Linked DNA regions of Drosophila melanogaster. The gene in region 1 interacts genetically with each later gene. Each region holds a gene or a part of one and is shown in the gene's direction. Other genes may lie near its edges. The genes, in order: rn, Ser, nej and nab.

Region 1 (4,744 bases):
AGCCATATTAGCAGGTGAAATAATCAAATTAGCTGATAAACCGAACGGGAAACTGCTGGACATTAGGTTCCCAGTCGGTCGGAAAAACCACGATGGCTAAACGCAGCCATTTCCCAGTGATTTGAGTGAGGAAAGGCCAGCTACATCGTTGCCGTTGGGATCAAACATAGCTGCAATACTGCTCTACTGGTGCAGTACTGCAATTCTCAGTCCCCAGGTGGATGTGCCAATTGCATTGATTAACTAAATAAACGCGCAGCACTTGCATTTTAATTTCATTTATTTTGACCTTTTTCCCCGAGGAATGGCAGTTGCAGTTGTCACAGCCGAAATGCGCTGCCATTTTCCCACCCGCTGGCGACACATGTCCGTACCCATAAAAAATGCCTTGTCAGGAGTAAAAAAAAAAAAAAAACTTAAGAAAAATTAACAAAAAATATAAAACGGCAAGCACAAGCAAAAAGATGCCAGTCAAGGGGCGAGCAGTGAAAAAAGAAATAAACCAAGTGCTCCAATAAAAATTCCACCGCCTTCACCCTCGTGTCGACCTGCTCTCACACTCACACCCTCTCTTTCACGCTCGCACTCTCTCTTTTTTGCCCGCTTTTATGGTTTTTTTTTTGTTTTAAGAGCGCATCGCCGCTTTTGCCCTGCTTGCTCTTGAGCTTGGCCAACGCTGCGTATGAGTGGAATTTTTTCAGTGCCGCCGAATCATCGCTTCGCTTGAAATGAATATGTGTGATTATTAGCCGCAAAAAAGCGTGTTTCGTTTTTGCCACTGACTTTGGTAGTTTTTGCGGATTTTTAATTTGAATATTACATGTATTAAAAACTCATTACTACGCGTGGTTCGCCATCGAAGTTGGTCAATGGGCTAATGGTCTGCGGATGTGATTTTTTGTCATTTCAGCGTTTGTCTCTTGCGCAAAATTATGCATTTGGGATCGGAACGAATGTATGCTCCTATCTTCATTTTGGGTGTGGAATTTGCATTATAAAAATTTAAAAAAGGAAAATTTTAAACGTAAATAAATCAAGTTTCATTTGTACATGGTGGCAGAGGAGAGACGTAGAAATTGCAGACTAAGTAACTACATTTTTTACAAGACAATAAATAAAATAATAAAACGTTATTAAGCAATTAAATGGAAACCACTTTCCTGATAACACTTTTGATTAACCCGTCTTCGGTGGCGGACTTGAACCTTCATTGCTCGTCACCTAAACGCCCCCGTGTTTTACCATAAAGATTGAGCTATAAAAACGGAGTGCCGCATTAACCGTTCGCCGCGCAACGAGCAGCGTGCAACGTGCAGCATGCAACTCGCAATATGCTCATTCATGCTCAAAGTCAAGAGAAAAGAAAAGCCACTCAGGCAAAAAGCCCGAAATCAAATCAAAGTTGCTCAAGAGACCCGGTAGCAAAAAGCGAGCTGCAGGAAAAACCACAAACAATTTTTTCCATCGCCCCGAAGAGAGAGGGAGAGAGGCCGCGTGAGAGAGGGAGAGAGCGAGCGAACCACTTTTTGCCACTGCTTTTGGAGCAAAAGGAGTAAAAAGCTGTTGCGCAGGCGTCGCCGTCTGCCCCAAAGCCGTGCCAGCCACGAGTGCGAGAGAGAGACCGGGCGAGTGGAGCGACAGAGAGGGCAGCTATGCTGCGATTTGGCGGCGAGTGCGAGGCATTTGAATGTTTTTTTCGTGGCCGCACTCAGCATTCGAGTTCGGAATTCTTGCGAGCTGGCAGCTACTTTTTGCGCTGCTCGCTGCTGCCGCTTCTGCTGAGCCAAAGCCATAGGCAAAGTCCAAGCCAGGCTAAGCCAAACTAAACCTGGCCCAAACGGCCGGCCACTCGGCCACTGTCCACCAGTTGGCCACTTTCGCGCGCGTTCCAGCCAAGTGCACTCCTCAGTCTGCACTCTCCGTTCTGCAGTCCGCAGTCTGCAGTCTTTTTTGCCCGCGTCTCCCAATCCGCGAAGAATTCTGTCGCAAAGTGCAATGCATTTTCGCCATTCCGCAAGTGCAGCTGCTCCCCCAGCTCGCGGTATCATAATTAAAAATCGAGCCGAGTGAACTCGCAAATTGTTATCACCACACGTCGTCGTCGTCTGAGTCGGTAAAAAACAAGCCAGGCCCTCGAAAGGGTCGAAATTGGTCAAGTGTCAATGCGATCGAGGCCGTAATAAACGTGTTTCAGTGCTCCCCTGAATAGTTATTGTGATCCGCTGATCAGCTGAGTGAATGCAAGTGAACGAATATATTGAGGAGTATCCACTTACTACACGCGATAATTGCGAGAATTTCCACGAGCCACTCTGAGGAGTAGATATCGAATGGGGTTAGAAAGTAATGAAGTCATTCTATAAGTCCCAGCAGCAGCAGCAAGAAAAGACTAGCCTAATAAAATATTTATTTTAGGCCATTTTGCGGAATTAAGTTTTAAGATACTTGTTAACAATAATTTGATAAACTAGTTACAAAATTATACAAACACAAGTTAAACTGTTCCAAAAAGTATATATATTAAATATATTTAAAGCTTCCGCCTAAATCGATAATATATTATATATTTCCATATGTCCCTATAGTAAAATTATAGTTCGGTGATGATTAATAACAAAATTTACTTCAAATGGAAATATACCGTTTTTATTTTGTAAACTGAAACCATAAATTTTTCGTTTATTATGTAAACATTCCATAATTAAAAATTTTTTAAAATTATTTATGAAATCAAATCGGTTGCAACTCATTGCTCACATCACGATTCTGCTTAAATATTATTTACCTAGGTAATCCCAGCTTTCTTTTCTATTGGGTTCAGTACACTCCCGATTCAGGGATAGACGAAAGTAGTTGCTTTCTAACCACATGACTCTTTCCCTACTATTCGCATCTAGCTCGATTTCCCAAAAAGTGAACAAAACAACAAAACTAAACTAAATAGCGCGTTATTTAATTGAAACGTAAAATAGATATTCCGAGCGAACCCCCAAGTGGAACTAATTAGAATAACGCCCTGAACAACCGCCAATCGAAGGTGCTTAAATGATTATGCATGGTACCTGGTACAAGGGACCTCAGTTGGCGCACCATCCTCACTCGAATCCGCATAACAGTTCGCACGGCCACAGTGACTACCACCAGTTCCGCTCGTACCCCTCGTTCGTTGTAACGCCCTACCACGATGGCCATGTCCAGGGCCCGGCCACGCCCACTCCATGCACGGCCCCGCCAACGCCCTGCAACGGTCCAGTTCCAGTTTCAGTTCCAGTTTCGATTCCCGTCTGCCACACCGGCGGCCAAGGTTCGCCAGTAATTGTCGAGAGCTCATTTGCAATCGCCGCCGCCGCCGCTGCAGCGGCTGCTGCCGTCGCCGTCGGAGGATCCAGTGCCACGCCCCTGCTGCCCAGTCCGCCCATCAAGATCGAGCAGGTCTTTGGCGAGCCCTCTTCGCTTGGAGCCGTCGTTGAGGATTACGCGCTGGGACTAGATTGCCCCGTGGAACACACGTTTCGAGTAAGCGCACTAAAAAGTTTACAATATTATGAAAATATATTATATGAATACGACCTGGTATTATTTTATTTAATAAACACTATTAAGTACTTTAATTTGAATGCAACGGAAACTTTTATCTAGCTGATAAAATAAAACATTTACGTTGTTTTTATTGTATAGGCATTAATGATACTGATACAACCGTTTCTTTAATTATCATTTGTTAGTATGAGAGCTTGTATTCTTGGGCAAACGTTAAATCTGCTTGCCAAATTAGGAAATCTTCTAGCTTTTGAGATCTCAGACCGTTTACATAATCGAAAACACAGATAGATAATAATGATCCTAATGATACATCTTCGATTGAATAATAAATCGTTTTTTTAAGTAGAAGTAAGCTCTAATTCTACTGAAGAAGTGCAAAATTTGTGTAAGGTCATTACTCCTGAACATGGATAAATTTACCTACCCAAAACTAACTTCTTTGAATTTAGTGACATGAATATCGAATAATAATTTTTTTTAAGTTTTACTCATTTTGTATCCACTTTTAAGATATTGGTAGCCATTTGATAAATGTTTTCTTTTATTAAATAAATGAACACTTTAGGCGTTATTTAATAAAAAAAAAATAGTTAAAAGAAATCAAAGCTCATATTTTTAATCCTCACCGTTGGTTGCCATGCTTTAGCCATCCGACTGCCGTTTCCTAGCCAATTTTATAGCAGTGTATGGATAATGTTATTATGTCAAATTACTGGTTAGCATCCCCATTGGAGCAGCTGCTGCACTTGTTTGGCTCGACTCTCACCACCGAAAGTGGGCGTGCTCCAAATCAATTTCCATAAAATCATCCAATAACACTTAAAAGCCAGGCAGGGCAAAAAGCCGACAAACACAAGTGGCAGGCGAGTAAAAAACAGGAAAACAAACACGCCCCCAACTCGAAGAGCGTCAGTGAAAGAGCTCTCTCTTTCTCTCTTCGGGGAAAGCAAGAGCACCGCAAAACGGAGAGATCTCTTGTTTCGAGTGGGTTTTAATGGTAAAACGCTCAAGCTTTTGCGTCGCTTTTTCAGACGGTCCAAAGGACACTTTTTGTCGGCTTGGTTCGTGCACAGGATATCCCATAATTGCCTGGCTTACAAAGCTTTTCGCAGTCTAATGCAGATTGACTGATGGCTTCAAGTGGATGAAAGGAAATTAATGCAAATCAACAGGTGGTCCTGTGAAGTTTAAGGACATATGT
Region 2 (4,858 bases), about 20 Mb from region 1:
CCACTAAACCACCAGAAACCACTAACCGCAAACAGCCACCACAACGGCAGCAGGAGGAGTGAAAAATTAAAAAAGAAAAACGAGGAGGCGGAAAAAACACTTGAAAAATCTGTCATAAAATGTTGAGTGGTGTAAAACCAACTGGTTGAAATTGCCAACATATTTGCCTGTTTGTTTAATGAACTCGCCCAACGAGGGTTTTTTTGGTTTGAGGGGGTGAACCTTTGTCAAGAGGGTGGGTTTAACATTTTGATTACTCAATATGTTTGATTTTATGGATTTATGCCACCGCTCTGGTCCACTTTTGCAGCTGTTACATGTGACAGTAAAACCAAAAAACACAAAAACACTTGGCCGGAAAACGAAAGCTAATCCCAAAAAAGAAATGCCATCAAACCCGAACAAGTGTCCAACAAGCCGCCAACACAGAGTGCCCCCAAATTATGAGAGACGCGCACAAAGACACCTGTAAGTCGTTGTCTGCTATTAGTTGAAATCAAAACGAAAACAATGTAAGCCACAGTGAGCAAAAATAATATCTCTGGGGAGCACCAGCTCGAAGTCTCTGGAGGCTGATGGCTGAAGGCTGTAGTCTGCTGGCCACCAACGCAAAGCTGGTCGTCGCCTTTTAGCCAATTTTGATATAACTGAAAGCGTCAATTATACGTGAAATTTATGATGCCGTGTGAAGAATAACACCAACTTGCAACATATTTGGACAACGAAGCCGTTGCCATTGCCGCTGGCAGTTGCCTTTGCCGTTGCCGTCTCGGTGGCCCGTACAATTGCCGCTCTGGGGTCTCTTGTCGCAGATATGTAAGCTGATAATGGGCATTGTAGTGCAGTTTTTCTTCCATTTCTTCTGTTTTTTTTTTCTTCTTTTTTTTTAAGCGAGAAAAGATGACAAAGGAGCTGGGAGACCGCTGCCCAGTACGCCCACCAAATAGAGGAGGATGGAGACCCAAATGGCCAGGGAGACGGCTAGAGAAGACATTTTGGGCACACACCAAGTCAATTTGTTTTATCTATTGTCGAACAAGAGTCATGTCACAACGGCACAATGAGATTTACTATGTGTTGTTGCAGTTGTTGAGGCAGCAGCAGTTGTTGCTGCTGCTGTTGTTGCTGTGGTGGGCAGACAATGGAAAATCAGCAACATGATTCGATATTTAGATATGCGCCTCAAGAAATATGAGCCGCTAACAACAACAGTAAGGTAGGCAGCAGCAACAACAAAGATGCTGCCGCCTGTCTTGTTGGCCGCATGTAATTGCCAAGTTTGTTGCTTAAGTCTTTTGTTTTGGCTGCACTGATAGGCCAGTTGCATTTAAATTTGATTTATACACTTTTGGCCAGCAGATAATTGGATGGAAGTCGCCGCTCTGTCTGTGTGGTTAATAATTGGCCGATGCTAGTATCTTTCGATTTGGTTCCCAGCCGTTAAAGATTGTGGGAGCGTTCCTTCATATTAGGTGTTAATTGCCAGTCCCTTGGAGCTACTAGATCTGGAGCACACACACACATACACACACAGCCCCAGAATGCACTTATTGGCATAATTAAGTTGGAATCGTAAAAAACGGCAGCCGAGAGCCTCGGGCGCGCATGCGTGCAGCAGCCGAAGCGGCAGCAACTCCATTAACTGCCGATTCTGATTCAGATTCCGGGCCCCGGGGCTATATACAGTCGTACGACCAATCAGCGGCTGGCTAAAGAGCACTGCACGAAGAGCAAACTGGTTTTCTTCAAAGAGAAGCACAGAGAGAATCGCTGCGAGTTAAGCTCTCGGGATCGACGGCAACTTGTGCCCAGAGGCAATCAGTCGTTAGTCGAAGCCTGAAGCGCACGCAGCACTCAGCGGAAGTCGTCGCCAGTTTATTTTGAAAGCGGTTTCGGTGGTTCAGACCGAGCCACAGTTCTCTTAAGACTGCAGATCACCACCACCACCACCACCACCAGCAGCAGCAGCGACAGCTCACCTCACCACCTTTACCACCACCAAAACCGCAGCTCTCTCGCGTGACTTGCTCCGCCCCGTGAATGGATGCTGCTCGAGGGCTGGAAATGCCGCAGGATTCGGTTAACGCGTTTAGTCGAGCGCCGTGCTTCGAGCGGTGATGAGCCCCTTTTCTGTCAACGGTAAAACCCCTCCTCGAATTGGATTATTGTGCACCCAAACTGAACGCCACCGACCATCATCCATATAACAATTGTGAAAGTGTTTAATGTGCCGCAATCGAATTAAATTGCTTGCTGATTACAACAAATGATGAAGAGCAATCAACTACAAATGCTCGGTGGAAGAAAAGCAAATCGAAAGATCGACAATCAGCCGACATTTTGCTATGTGTGTGTTTCCATAGTGTGTGATTAATTTCTGAGCCCAGATCGTGTGAGCTAAGGAAAACGGAAATACCTTTCAATTAAATACAATACATTAATATATCAAAATACAATGCCGTCAAAATTGTGTTTAATCAAAGGCGAAAAGTAAAAGTGCAAACAATGTGAATATGCGAAAACGAGTGCCCCATTCCGGGGGAATCGCTGGCCACAGTGTGCTCCATTGATAACGCACACAGGGACGCAAAACAGGGACACAAACACACGAAGCTACAACTACGAAGTGGAATTGAAACATGCCAAGTGAAAGGGAGAAAGAATGAAAACATCCGACTAGTTCATAATGCACGCAGATAATACAAATAATAATAATAATGGGCGCACATAGAGAAATTTCCACTAGAACTTAATAAGTGGGATTCCCAAACAACCTATTGAAAGTATTTGACTTTCTAAAAGCGATGCTTAACACGGATTTTTTTTTCTAAATTTAAAGAATTTTGAATTGAATAACAAATGTTTTATTAGAAAGTTAAAGAACTTTCCGTATAGATGAAGTAGTGTAGTTTTCTTCTGTGCACCGGGAGAAAAGAGAGATTGTGAAATCAGTTTGGTTCTGAATGGGTGGTACGAGCATGGGAAAGCCCCTGATCAAGAGAGCGCGGAAAATGCTCGATGCACTGCTCAATGATTTACCATATGCAACGAATAACGGATCTAGCACGGTCCAAAGCTTATTCAGATCGTTAAGTTCAAGACGGTGATCTGGTTGCACAATTATTTGATAAATCAGAGTATATCCAGAAGTTACTAGAAATAGAAATGGATACACGGTATACTAAAGTTTTGAGGCCGCTAGAAGTTCATTCATCGTTTTGCAAATTGCCAAGAGAGAAGAGTGAAAGTAGCGGTATTAGGGGGTATTAAGGGGGAGGTAGCTGCATCATCCACTTGCAAAAGCCACTTCCGGTCATGCCCTGCAGCAGCAGCAACATCCACATCAGCGGCAGCAGCAGCAGCAGCATGAGCAAGAGCGGCAGCATCTGGGTTTCGATTCAAAGTCAACGACTTCCGTTCCGTGCCAAAGCCGGGAGGAGGCCCCAAGCAAATTACTTAATTAAATGGACAATTAACACCCGAGCAGGAGGAACCGGGGCGGGCTGGGGGGCTAAAGGCCATGGGAGGATAGGATGGCCGGAATGGCAAAAGCAGCGGCAGGGTGGGAAGAATGAGTAATGTGAGCAAGAGTGAAAATATCTGTAAATTAATATGCGCACAAGATGCAAATTGTTTGTGGCCAAAGACACGGCTCCATAGTCGCAGCAGCAGCAACTGCAGAAGCAGCCACATCAGCAGCGGCAGTAACAGCGTTAAATTAACATAAATTGAATTGCATTTGCATTTGCTGCACGTTGCCGCTTTTTGCGGTCTGGCAAAAGTAAATGTTGCTGCGGTGGCTGGTGGCACTTGTTGCGGCTTGCTGCGGTTGCCGCTACTGCAACTGCAACTGCAGCAGCAGCAGCATCATCTGCGTGTCAATTAGCGTTGATGATGCACAGTGAAATAGATTTTGCGCAGCCCGTTTCAATTCCAATTCGTTCGACAATTGTTACAGCTAAAGATCTACAAAACATCAGCGCCTATCAAGTGGAAGTGTCAAGTGTGAACAAAACAAAAACGAGAGAAGCACATACTAAGGTCCATATAAATAATAAATAATAATTGTGTGTGATAACAACATTATCCAAACAAAACCAAACAAAACGAAGGCAAAGTGGAGAAAATGATACAGCATCCAGAGTACGGCCAGTTATTCAGCTATCCAGAGCAAGTGTAGTGTGGCAAAATAGAAACAAACAAAGGCACCAAAATCTGCATACATGGGCTAATTAAGGCTGCCCAGCGAATTTACATTTGTGTGGTGCCAATCCAGAGTGAATCCGAAACAAACTCCATCTAGATCGCCAACCAGCATCACGCTCGCAAACGCCCCCAGAATGTACAAAATGTTTAGGAAACATTTTCGGCGAAAACCAGCTACGTCGTCGTCGTTGGAGTCAACAATAGAATCAGCAGACAGCCTGGGAATGTCCAAGAAGACGGCGACAAAAAGGCAGCGTCCGAGGCATCGGGTACCCAAAATCGCGACCCTGCCATCGACGATCCGCGATTGTCGATCATTAAAGTCTGCCTGCAACTTAATTGCTTTAATTTTAATACTGTTAGTCCATAAGGTAAGCAAACCAACCAACATGCAAAAAACGATCGAATCCCCAAAGCAATAATCGCAAAAAGCCCCAGATCCAAATACATGCGGGTGTAGTGTCTCGTCAAAAAGGCCAAAAGAAAACAGACAAAGTTGATTCAACCCATGCGAATTGGCAATGGCTGAGGGCAAAGTTTTGATGGGGGACGTAAATAATGATGATTTTTGGGTTTATTTTTTTGAGTGATTTATCAACTCCGCATCCCGAAGAGCTGTCTTTAATGAGAGCTCTTACGCTGGAATTTTCTC
Region 3 (4,661 bases), on another chromosome or scaffold:
ATTGTAAAACCAAACTTTATATTCCAATTATTTTTAGGTTTTGAAACTCTTCAGTTCTTCATTCTGCATTGTTATTATAGCACGTTTCATCCATATAAATACACAAGATTAAAGGCAAATGACAATAATATCCGAAAAGATAGCTAGATAATGAATAATTACGCTTTTTAGCTACACAGCGGCCACAATGACAGCACTGTTCCTCGTACGAATGCTAACGTTAAGAAGAGGAAGAGACGAGCGGTGCTGGGTTGAAAAAAACTGGAAAAGGGGGGAAATTGGCGCAAATTGTGCACGCGAGGCGCAGCAGGGACGTTGGATCTTAACTATCGGTTTGTGTTCCTTACTTTGCGGCAAAATTAATGCAACCAATTGCCGATATACTGAGAAAAATGGCATAATTAAATAACCAGATCCAACGCATGTAGTGTAAAAAGTCGGGCATTATTCCCAATCGCAAAAGAGAGAGAATCGGTATCACTCGCTGACCCGTCTCGTTCGAGTCTTGATCGCGGTATCTCGCTTGCACCCACATACCGAGCGCCAGCCAGTCATATGGCCGTCCCGTTCATTTCGGTGACAACGTGTCGGTGTGTGTGCATCAGTGTGCAAGCTTATATGTGTGCGCTGTGTATCTGCAACAAACAACGGCGGCCGCTAACAAAAAAAATTGTAAATAAATACGCTGCCGTTCGACAGCGCGCGAAAATCGAAAAAGTGCTCGAAAAGTCAACGAAAGAGCGCCCCCAAAAGAATATAAAAAATTCCGCTAGCGGAAAGGGGGGAACAACAGAAGCAAGTGGGACATTTATTGAACAATTTGAAAATTAATTTGTTCTGTGCGTTGTTTGCATGACCACCGGTTCGTCGGACAAGGACGACGATAGTGTATCCTTCGGCGGCTGATTTTTCGGCTTGCCTCTCTCTCACACGTTCTCTTTGTCTCTCACGGCAAGAGCGAACGGAAAACACGCTAACACTGAACCCACCAGAGATGCGCAAATCCAATGACTCGATTACTTACGTGATCCTCTGTAAATATCGTTTTTCCTTTGAAGAACTTTAAACTAGATTTTTACGATGGACAAACGTTTTCAAAATTAATGTCTACAAATACTTTTTTAAACAAAAAATTCTAAACAACTGCACTCATTCAAGATGTTGATTTATTAATTCATATTAAACATCTTTTTGGAATACCTATTTGATCTCAAAAACGCTGCAAAGAATATTCATTTCATAATGATGTTGGTCTCCAACCAATGATGTTTCTTACAAAACTTCTTTGTGCACATTTTCAAGTGACCGCATAAAAGTATCGGCGAATGTGTCACCGTCATCATGTGGTCATCTCTGGACTCGCTGCTTCGTTATCTGGCGCGCCATATGTGTGCGCGTGTGTGCGTATCGGCTCTTTGGGAGCGCATGGCGTGAGCGGTCTCGCCGACGCAGAGAGCGAGGGACTAGAGCAAAACAGTGTTCCGACAGCGGTTAACAGCTGTTACGGGGCCAACAGACTGCTAGCAAAGGCATTTATATGGATTTCGGGTCGTAACAGTACGACAACAGCGGCCAAACAGCACGCGAGAGCGACGAGAGCCCACTCGCGTGTTGTGTTAAACAGTCAATTTTAGTGTATTTCCGAGCTCGGTGGTGTATTTGAACGGCTAGCCGCGGTCACACTGAAGCAAAAACATTTTTGGCTCGGAGAACGATTAACACAAGCGGACTGAAATTTTTTTGTTTTAGTGTTGCGAAAAAGTTTGTGGGATTTTTATAAAATCGCCGGAAAATGTGAAAAATATATGGTATAAAACCGAAATTCGGCAAAATTGCAAAGTATAGTTAGAAATTTAGTGCGTGGCAATCGGTGACGGTGGAAAAATAAAAATACCGGCCAAAATCGGGCTGAAATTTTTTTCAAATTTTCTACGGCATTTTCTTGAATTTCGTATTTTCGCCAAATATTTTTGCGATTTTTGTGTGGGCCGGGAAAAATGAAAAACGCTCTGGCGGAGACAACACAAAAAATTTCTGCAATAGAAACTTTGAAACGACGTGAAGAAGAAAACGAAACGAAAACGACGAACGAACACAGAAAAAAAATGGAATATATTTCTGTCGTCTGTTTTTCTTTCTTTTTCCAATGCTCCTCGCACTCGTTGCCGTTTACCGTCGTGTGTATATTGCACACTAATGCCGCTTGGCACTAATACCATCGCATGCTTTCTCTCTCGGACTCGTGCTCGCTCTTGCACGAACTCGCTGTTTTCGAAGTGTGCGTGTGTGTAACTGTGTGGTGAAAACGGCGTTGGCGTCGCTGTGAGAATTCTGTACGCGCGCCCCAAACCCCAAATGTGTGCGTGCGTGAGTGTGTGAAAGCTTTTGTCAGCCAGCCCCACTGCACTCTAGTGTCATCCCGCTCGCACCCCACTCGCCACTCGCCGCCCCAACAAATTGAATTTCATATGATGGCCGCTCGAATGCGGAAGCAAAACCAAAATACGGCCACTTTTTCGGCCATTTAATTTATAAACTAGACTATAGACTACAGCCGCAACTGGCTGATACTTCAATTAATTTTTTTAAGCAGTGCTCTGACTTTTATTACCTGTAAAGGTGTGAAATTTTTTTTCCAAAAATGTATTTGTCATAAAAATGTTAAGCATGTTTCAAAGTATATTTTTGCCAACGACGGCACTTGTTTTCCATATTTTTTAGGGGACTGGCGGCAAAATGAAATTATTATTTTCATTTTCGTGGTGTGCGCCAAAAGAGCGAGAGGCCAACACACACGTCTGCGAGTAAAATAACGAGTACAGCGCTGGTAGTATTGGCGAATAAAATTGCGAGGCAAGAACAGACAAGAGAGAGAGAGAGAGTGAGTGGTCGTCAAGCGGCACACAGATGAGTGCAACGAGACCGAGAGAATTCTCGGTACTGTTCTCGTTGTTCTTCCCTTTTCGCCCCGTCTTCGGCACGTCTCGTCGCATTTTAGTTTCGTTTTGTTTCCATTTTCCCCTCGGTTTCGCTGTCCACTCGCGCGCGGCTAAATTACAAAAAAGAAAGAAGAAAATAAATAAATATTGCTTTCGATTTGTGTTCGTCCATTCAACATAATCTAATAGGCTGTGTATTATTCTTCTTGTGCGTTTGCAGTTAATGTGTAATGCTAGAGCGGCAAACGTCGGCAGCAGCAGCAGCAGCAACAACATCAGCATCGACAAAAACAACAGCAGCGCGCCAGCAACAAAAACAAACCGAAACACAACAAACCCAACAACAGCCAACAATGTGAATTGCTTTTTTTTCCTTATTAATTGTAAACGATAACCGAATCAAGTGCAATCAAAATTAAACACAAGCATATATAATATATGGTCAAAATATCTATATATATATATATATATTCCTGTGTAACAAAAAGCCGCCAAAAACAAATCACATAAAATATGTAAGATAGCGGAGAAAAAGGCGGAAAGAAAAGGAAGAGAAAGAGGAGAGAGCCAAACCAAGAACCGTTCTTTTTCGCTCAGTGGAGGCAGGCAGGCAACAACAGACAAACAAACAAACAAACAATAACAAGAGCCGCCCAGCCAAGGTCAACTTTTGGTGTTTTTGGGGCCCAACAACACAAAATGCACGCGTGTGTCTGCTGCTGTTCGACAAACAACAATTGCAACAACGAGAACAACGACGGCAGCAGCAGCAGCAGCAGTAACCACAACAACAACGACAGCAGCATCAGCAGCAGCAGCAAAAACAAATTGCAGCTAAAAAAGCGCAGGGCCGAAGTCGAAGAAGAAGAAGAGGTACTGGTCAAGCGGACGCAGGATAAGAACAAGCATCAAGAGGAGCAGGAGCAGGAGGAGCACCAGGCGGTGGAAAAGTTGTCTGCTGGCCAAAGCGCCAGTGGCGGCGACAACGATCTCAACGGCGCCGCAACGAGAAGGCGGTGGTGGCTGCGCGATCCTCCAGGATCAGCGGAAGCGGCAGAAGGAGAGGGAAAAGGCGAAGGAGTGGAAGTGGGTGTGGGAGCAGAAGGATCAGCGGGCACAGGTCCGACGACGTGGTGGTGGTCAGCTCCATCCGTTGACGTTGCGGTGACGATAGCGCCGGCTACGTTGTTGCTGTCGTTGCAGCGGCAATTAGCAAAGGAATTATCTAAATCAACAACAACAACTGCAACAAGAACAACAACAGAAGCCACATCCTTAGCAATAAAAAGCGGAGCAGCAGCGTTAATATCATCATTAAGTGCAAGCATCGCCAACATCATCGATTACAAGATCCCAAAACACCAATACCAAAACCAAATCCCAATCCTCGCCAGCCACGCCTTTTGAGTGCCTCTTTGTGTGTTGTGTATTGTGCGTGCGTGTGTTGCAAAGTGTCCAAACTAATCAAGAAATCTACAACTTAAAACACTAAACACTTAACCAAACAAACAACCTGTGCAACAATTGTCAAAGTGCTAGGCGACAAATAATTTCTGAAAGAAGATTTGACAAGTTCCAATAACGAAAATATCAGAACACACTCGAACTCCAACATAGACGGATCATTGGAGAGTTAGTGAAAAAAAAAAGCGAAAAATCAGAAAAACTTTATAAACTAATAGAAACAATACTACTCAGATTTTTCGAACGTTTTTCGTCTGC
Region 4 (7,629 bases), on another chromosome or scaffold:
ACGATATTGCTCTCCTGAAGCTCCATGGTCAAGCGGAGCTTCGAGATGGAGTGTGCTTGGTGTGTCTTCCTGCACGAGGAGTCAGCCATGCGGCGGGCAAGCGATGCACGGTGACCGGATACGGATATATGGGTGAAGGTAGCGACTAGATCCTTATGATTACTTTGATAGCTTCTAACTTTTGGTCATCTTTTAAGCTGGTCCCATTCCCCTGCGAGTGCGTGAGGCGGAGATTCCCATTGTGAGCGATACGGAGTGCATACGGAAGGTGAACGCCGTGACGGAGAAGATCTTCATCCTGCCCGCCTCCAGTTTCTGTGCCGGCGGAGAGGAGGGACACGATGCCTGCCAGGGCGATGGAGGTGGTCCACTAGTTTGCCAAGATGATGGGTTCTACGAGCTGGCCGGCCTCGTCTCCTGGGGATTCGGCTGCGGGCGACAGGATGTGCCCGGCGTCTATGTGAAGACGTCCTCGTTCATCGGCTGGATCAACCAGATCATCAGCGTGAATAACTTATAGTGAGGAATCTCGCAAAGGACACACTGACACCATGTGCGGGAGGAACCCCGCTCTTGTGGCGATTTCCAGGACTGACGACTAGCCTGGTGTAGCCTACGATTGTTTCCAGGGGTTCCCGCTCTTCGACTGCTAACGTAACTCCATCCTAGTGTAATCTATTCATACCTAAACCTAACTCTAATGACTCCAAATCCAGAAAGCAACTATATTAACTATTATGATTATCGGTAGCGTAGACGGCAATCTTTAAAAGTATTCCCCTATTTGATAACGCCCTATGGTAAAATGTTTTTGTATATACAAAATAAATACAAAAAATCTTCAGTTATATAAACATTTGAGTATGGATTTGGTTGGGTAAAAAGGGTTTGGTTTAATTAATTTTTTAAATATATGATCATATTTTACAATAAGCTGTTTCTTCGTTTTCCACAAGAAACTGCTTACAAAATTTCAAATATATATTTTTCCTAAAGATATTTAAATATTTTCGAATTTTGGCGGCAAAGGAGAGCAGATTTTTCTTTTCTAGTACGAAAAAATGCAGTTGCATAATGATTCATTTGACATGGGAAAAGGGTTATGCAATCTTATACAACCTATTTTTTTTTTGCTGAAATTTGAATATTCCCAACAGATTTAACGGAATTCTTCACCAAAAAAACATTAAAAGGATCTTTTGGAAAGTCTCTCCGGCATTCCGAATCTTTGAGTGCTTCTCAAGAGGCGGAGCACAAAAACTCACTCAATGTCGCTCAATTGCGAAAAGAGAGAGAGAATGATTGTTCTCTAAGAGAATCTTGAGCATCGGCAGATAAAAAGTAACCCTCAAATCTGGAAACCAATGTCCTACGTTCCTAACCCTCCGAACAATTTGTTTGGTTTTGTTTTTATCCCTGATTTTAACCCTTTTTTTTTTTTTTGCCCCGGCTGATAGAAAACGAAAGCGCCCGGCACTCGGGTGGACTTCGGGTGGCTTCGTTGGCTTCGTTGTCGTCGGCCGGTTCCAAAAGGGTTCCTCAGATGTCCGTTCTGGGATTCGTGCACAGAAGTTCGTCTGGCCTCGAGCTGAGCGGATCGCAGAGATTAGAGAGACTGAAAGTGGCGCGAGTTTCGTTACTGCCGTTACAATCTTCTGTTTAACTCTCCCTAAAGAGTCTTATATACTTATCTAGTGTAGTTAATCGTAGCCTGTAGTACTCTTCCGATCCTCGATCCCTGATCCTAGATCCTAGTTTGCATGCATTTCGTCCTGGTTCTTTGTGTTTGTGCCTGGTATTTGATCGCCTTTCGTGCCAATCGCGTTAATTTAATCCGTCATCGTTTGCCAACGTGTTTTATCGCAATGGAGGCGAGCTCGAATCCCACAACACCCACGACGGCGGTGGCCACCACCACATCCACATCCAGTCCATCGCCAGCTGCCAGCACCAGCAGCAAAGGACACAGCCAATCCGCAACAGCATCTGCATCCGCCTCCGCCACACAGTCACAGCTGCTGACCACCAGTCTGGAAATGCCCAAGACGGAGGATCTGTACAATCTGTCCGTAGCCAGCGGACTATCCGAGGGACAGAGATCGCTCTCGGGCGCTCCGTCGGCCTCCTCCAGTCCCATTATGAGTCCGCAGGGCAAGATCTTTGGAAGGAATGCGAATGGAACAAGTAAGTAGTTTATTATTAACTGATGCTGTAATATGGTGAAAAGGATTTCCAAGGATATTACTGTGCTGTGTTACACTAGTGAACACAGTACAGTTGTGGATAGAAGTAAAAGGTTTTCTATGCTCTCACTTAAAAAATAAACTTTGGTAATCAAAGTACAATTGTAGAAAGGGAACTAATTGTTTTGAAACAAATTAAAAGTTTCTAATAGAAATTCTTTGTGAAGGATGCCTGTTTTCATAATTATAAACTATTTTCTGTCAGTTAATTTCTTTGCGTTCTAAAGGCTTTCAAAATGGTTTATGTTGATGGTAATTGAATATAGTTTTTGTCGTTAAAAATACCAAAAAAAATTTGCTGATACAGGTTCTAATTATCTCCGAAAGCCATGCACATCCTTTCGTCATTGGCTCATGCAGATGTCTTCATTTGTATAAATGTTATTGTGTCCAATCCTGATCCTTCGACCGCAACGAATCCTTTGACAAAGGAATCCTCATCCAGCCACATGCTGCAATTTTCGCGCTCTTTTCGCGAGCTTCCATTGTCTGGCGATGTTATGTAACGGAAAACCGAAGGAGCTTGTCCCTGTCCTTCAAGGACCTCCGTCTATTAACAAAGGAAGCTGAAAGTTACCTTTGCTGGGTAATAATTTAATTTCTTAAAAAATAGCGGACCCTGTTCCGGTTTTCATTTCCTCGGTGCTCGATTGCTTGGGGTGTCTTACTTTGCATATTTGCTCAAGGTCTAGGATTTCTTAAGGCAGCAATGGCAGACTTCATCCAATAGGATCCATGCCAGACCCAGGTAAGATGCCTTTTCCTAGGCAGCCGTTAGATGAACCTCATGATGATAGGTCGCGTCTTAGGGGTGATATGAAAAAACGTTGTAAGGAAACGGAAAAAACTCACCCCAAGCGATGAGGGTAGTAAAATATTTCAATAAATCTCAGTTGGCGGAAGGGGAGGCAACCAACGAGACGCGTTCTCGTTGGAAAAAATGCTCAAGCGCCGAAAGAAAAGATGTCGTCACACAGAGAAAAAAACATATATATATCCAGTTCTTAGTGATTCAATCAACTTATATTATCTAGTTGGTATCACTTAATATAACATAGCATTTCCAATGAGTATCCAGTGTATCTTTTATTTAGATTTATACAAGTACAATGGACATGGCGAAACAGGTCCTATTAAAACCCTCAAATTGGCAAGATTAAGATCGTAATGACCCCGAAAATAATGCACTTAATATTTTGGACAGACATTATTCTTTTCCTGTGCAGGTTATGGTTATGGTTCCTCTGCCGGGGCCATTGGCCATTGGCACGTACGGTCCACGTTATTGCCACCAATGGAATTTTGATCGACAAGAATTTGGTCGTTGAAAAAGTTGGCTTTTAATTTATCGTTGTATATGAGAAATAGTTTCGGTTACTTGCCCATTGCCGATGCCAAGCAGAAAGGGAGGATCGAATGGAGGAGGAGGAGGAGGATTCAGACCCTGGTCCCAGTCCCAAGTCCCAGGTTCCAGGTTCCAGGTTCCGATTCCAGGTCCAACTCTCCAAGTCAAAGTCTGCAAAGTCCGGCGTCTACTTTTTGCCCATAATCGAAGCGATCGCACGATTGACTGCTCCGCTCCACACGCACACACAGACCGCTCACACACACACACACATGCACTATAACGCATTTTCTAAATGCACTGTGAGAAAAGTGTGTCAAAATAATACAAATAATATAGGCATGAGCGAGGTACATACTTAACTTAATGCTCAGAGACGCCTTGTATGAAATATATATAATTATAATTTCCATTAGAAACAATTATCACATCTTATCAGAATCAACCACACTTTTTTTCTAAGTGCCTATCCTGCTGGCTGCTCGCGGTTTTCCGTTTTCTGCTCCTGGCTGCTTGGGCAGCTGCTTGGTATGTGGCGTCGAATGTCATTATTGCTGCCAAGTGCCAACTAAAAAGTTACTGCAGTTAATTTTTTGTCCATCTTCACCATTTGCCGTTCGCATAAAAACAGCATATTTAGCAAATGACAACAACAACAGCAGCCGCAGCATCGGCTCTTACGCAGTGGGTAAAAAAAATGAAAGCAAGCAAAAAAAAAAAAGAAAACCAAACCCGCAAATTAAATAAATAAAAAATCAGCAACAATCCGCAGAAGCAGAGGAGCTGGAGCAGCCACAACAAAGTGTCCCCAGTTCTCCGCCTTCCCAGCCTCCCGCTTCGCCATATCCCCCCCGTTCCCCCCACCATTCACATTATTTGTGTATTGAAATCACGTCTCATTTATTTATTGCTACCACCGGCTGCCCCTCTCCGTTTGCTCCACCAGACTCCCGACTTACGCAGGTCTGCGTTAAATACCCAAGTTAGGATCAGGGAGCGGGCGGTGGCAAGTGATGGAATAGACCAGAAGTGTGGCCACGCTCTTAACCCTTCAGCGGTCACTCTAGGTTTTTTTTTCAATTTCAAGATCAATTGAAAATCTTAAGAAAGCTTTCAGAAAAGCATTACTCATATGTATCTTTTCATTTTAAATATATTATATGTATATAGAGATATATAGATCATAAACTTTCACTAAAACTGGCCAAATGTGTCTATTATAACCCTCTCATTAACTAGTTTTAATAACCTTGTCACTTAGCTACTAGTTTGCTGGATTTAGCGTACATTTATAAGCACTTTCAAAGTCGACACTAATTTCAGTCCAGTTCAGCTCAGTTGATCACAGCTTTCAAGTGGACGCAACTGGTCTGATATTTTAGTTTCCAAACTATTTATGATATACCCAATTAAGCGGCTAAGAATGCGAATTATTCTTGCTGCCTGGCCATAAATCGCAACAACCCCATGGAGCGGAGCGTGGGTTAATGGCGCGAAGTGCGCATCCTTGGTGTTGCACGTCGGTGGATGCGCTTGTGGCTTCCAGTTGGCCAAGGCAACTGAATACAAACCACAAAAAAAAAAACAGAGCGAGTGGAATCGGAGGATGGCAATCGATGTAGGCAGCTTTTTCTGCCCTGAGTTTGTTATAATTTAGCCGACCAGCTCGTTTTTCTATTAATTAAAGCTGGCTGCAGACGTTGTCGCCGCCTGAAATATTCTCACATAATTATTTACGATTTGACATAATCATCATCCTCGTCATCGGCGTCGTCCATTTAGAGCTGTGCTGCCATAACAGTTACAGTCTCCTCGATCGGGGGATTCATTAGTATGAGCAATAAATCGCTGGCTAGTCAGGATGGTTTCCTATGAACTTGAGTGTAGGTACGACTTTATATGTATGTACATATATATTTCACACGATGCCATCCCATATACCCATGAAAATTTACCTATTTTGAGCCAAAAATTGAAAGTGATAAAAGCAAACAAAAAAAAAGAGAGAATAGGTTAGATTTAAATGATGATCCTGGCAATCCTTGCTGGCATCTTGCGCATGCGTGACGCATTTCTAACGAGTTTGCCGACTCAAAGCGGATCGTATCGCATCCTTGGTCTTTCAGAAGGGGTTGAACCACCATGCTTATGCAGATGAGTTGGTTCCCAGCTCTTGCCTCATCCTTTTTGTGTGCTTTCGAGTTTTTTTTTTTTGCTCTGCTCAGCCTCTACGAAAAAAGGGTTAGGGTCCAGACGTCCGTCGAGTTTTTTTTTTTTTTTGGGTAAGAAAAAGCGAATTTAATTAAAATTTTTTTCTTATAGGCGCGTAGCATTGTGAGAACGTCGCAGGCCAGAACTTAATAAATATCATTTTTTGCTGGAACTTCTTCAAGCCAGTTTCTTATGCATACGTTTGCTTGTATCTTCCAGTGATCACCACATCGCGACCGGGCAACGAGGCGGAGGTGCAGCTGTACCGGGTACTCCAGAGGGCCAGTCTGTTGGCCTACTACGACACCCTGCTGGAAATGGGCGGTGATGATGTGCAGCAGTTGTACGACGCCGGCGAGGAGGAGTTCCTCGAGATCATGGCCCTGGTCGGCATGGCTTCCAAGCCACTTCACGTCCGCCGGCTGCAGAAGGCGCTGCACGAGTGGGCCAACAATCCGGGTCTCTTCCAGGGACCCATGATGCCGCATCTGGGTAAGTTTAAGAAATATGATATAAGGAAAATGAGACTTTTACAATATTTAGTTGATTTGATGAATTTCCGCCTCTGTAAAACACTTTTGCTAATACCTTGTTACTTGCAGGTCTCTGCGAAACGCCACCGAAACCGGCATTGATCTTCAATCCGGACACCACGCCCGCTCTGCCCCGCCAGAAATTTCCCTCGTTCAATCCCTCGGGTTCCTCCTTTATGCCCTCGCCGGTTCCCCCAGCTCCACTGCCCGCTTCCGCCTCGGTTCCCGCTCCCACTGTCCCCTTGGCTACCCAGATCAGCTGTCCCTCAGCTCCTTCGGTGCCCTTGCCGCTGGTACTGCCCCCCAACCCGCTGACCAGCAGTCCGCATCCCTCGGCGAACAGTAACCTTCCGGCGAACACCGCCCACCAGGTCTCCTCCAGTTCGCCCCAGCTCACACCTGTTCTGACCGAAGCGCAGATCCAGCGGATAACCATGTGTGCTGATAAGATTGGCAGGCAACTGCCCCAGAGGGAACCGCGCGCCCAGACCACCAGGAAGCGAACCACCCGGGAACTGGAGCAGGTTATCGCCATGGGGGAACAGGATCCGCGGCGCATGGACGAGATCCGTAAGTACTCGGCCATCTACGGCCGTTTCGATTGCAAAAGGCGGCCGGAGAAGCCGCTGACCTTGCACGAGGTGTGCGTCAATGAGGCGGCGGCCCAGCTGTGTCGGAATCCCCAGACCATCTGGCTGCTGACCCGCCGGGATGAGCTGTTCCCCCTGGCACGGCAGATTGTCAAGGATGCCGGGTTCGGCCACTCGGCCAGCATTGCCCGGTACGGTGGTCTGCTCACCCAGCTGCCGTCGCAGGGAGCGGGATTGGGCGGAGGACGGGCTCCTGGCGACACGGACTGCGAGTCCAGTGACGCCGCCGTGCCCTCCAAGCGACAGCGACTCTCCTCTACGGAGGCTGCGCAGCTGCCGCTCGACTTGAATCGGGTAAGGAAGCTAGATACCGTAGAGCTATAGGTCCGGTGCCCGGTGCAGTGCTTCAGCTTCGCTTCAGAGTCCTCCGGACGGAGGTGCTCCCTGATAACCCAACAATTTGCCTTGCAGCTTTCGCGAACGCCAGAACACAATTACTAATCCTAGTCGAGAGGTTCTTCTCAGAATATCCCGACCTGTGGAGAGGGATCCAAGTTCACACTACAGTATTTTTGAACTAGACTTGATAAATCTTACTTCTAATCTTGTAGTTAAAAAACTGACTATAACCCATATAGTCTGTGTAGTCAATTTGGTCTTAAAGACCTTTGAAAATAACTAAATCACTAATGTATTTAATTCTTTAA

The links.
Region 2: of rn (region 1) and Ser, changing one enhances a phenotype caused by changing the other (phenotypic enhancement), as found in Drosophila melanogaster (one study listed by BioGRID).
Region 3: of rn (region 1) and nej, changing one suppresses a phenotype caused by changing the other (phenotypic suppression), as found in Drosophila melanogaster (one study listed by BioGRID).
Region 4: of rn (region 1) and nab, changing one suppresses a phenotype caused by changing the other (phenotypic suppression), as found in Drosophila melanogaster (one study listed by BioGRID).

What each region holds. Positions count from the first base shown.
Region 1 is NT_033777.3:7,306,629-7,311,372, reverse strand, and holds the start of rn (rotund), read left to right. Parts: upstream 1-1,743; 5' UTR 1,744-2,343; intron 2,344-2,897; 5' UTR 2,898-3,045; coding exon 3,046-3,516; intron 3,517-4,744. UniProt on the Drosophila melanogaster protein: Transcription factor involved in imaginal disks development. Isoform rn is required in the wings, antenna, haltere, proboscis and legs disks, while isoform roe is required in the eye disk.
Region 2 is NT_033777.3:27,191,225-27,196,082, reverse strand, and holds the start of Ser (serrate), read left to right. Parts: upstream 1-1,815; 5' UTR 1,816-2,139; intron 2,140-3,958; 5' UTR 3,959-4,340; coding exon 4,341-4,577; intron 4,578-4,858.
Region 3 is NC_004354.4:9,682,650-9,687,310, reverse strand, and holds the start of nej (nejire), read left to right. Parts: upstream 1-1,643; 5' UTR 1,644-1,761; exon of another isoform or gene 1,762-1,808; intron 1,809-3,159; 5' UTR 3,160-4,661.
Region 4 is NT_037436.4:4,154,886-4,162,514, reverse strand, and holds the start of nab (nab), read left to right. Parts: upstream 1-1,582; 5' UTR 1,583-1,865; coding exon 1,866-2,184; intron 2,185-6,018; coding exon 6,019-6,291; intron 6,292-6,401; coding exon 6,402-7,276; intron 7,277-7,629. Other genes in the region: mas (masquerade), read left to right, coding at 1-138, 198-520. UniProt on the Drosophila melanogaster protein: Transcriptional regulator that can both act as a coactivator or a corepressor depending on the context. Lacks DNA-binding domains and acts by associating with other transcription factors such as rotund (rn) and squeeze (sqz).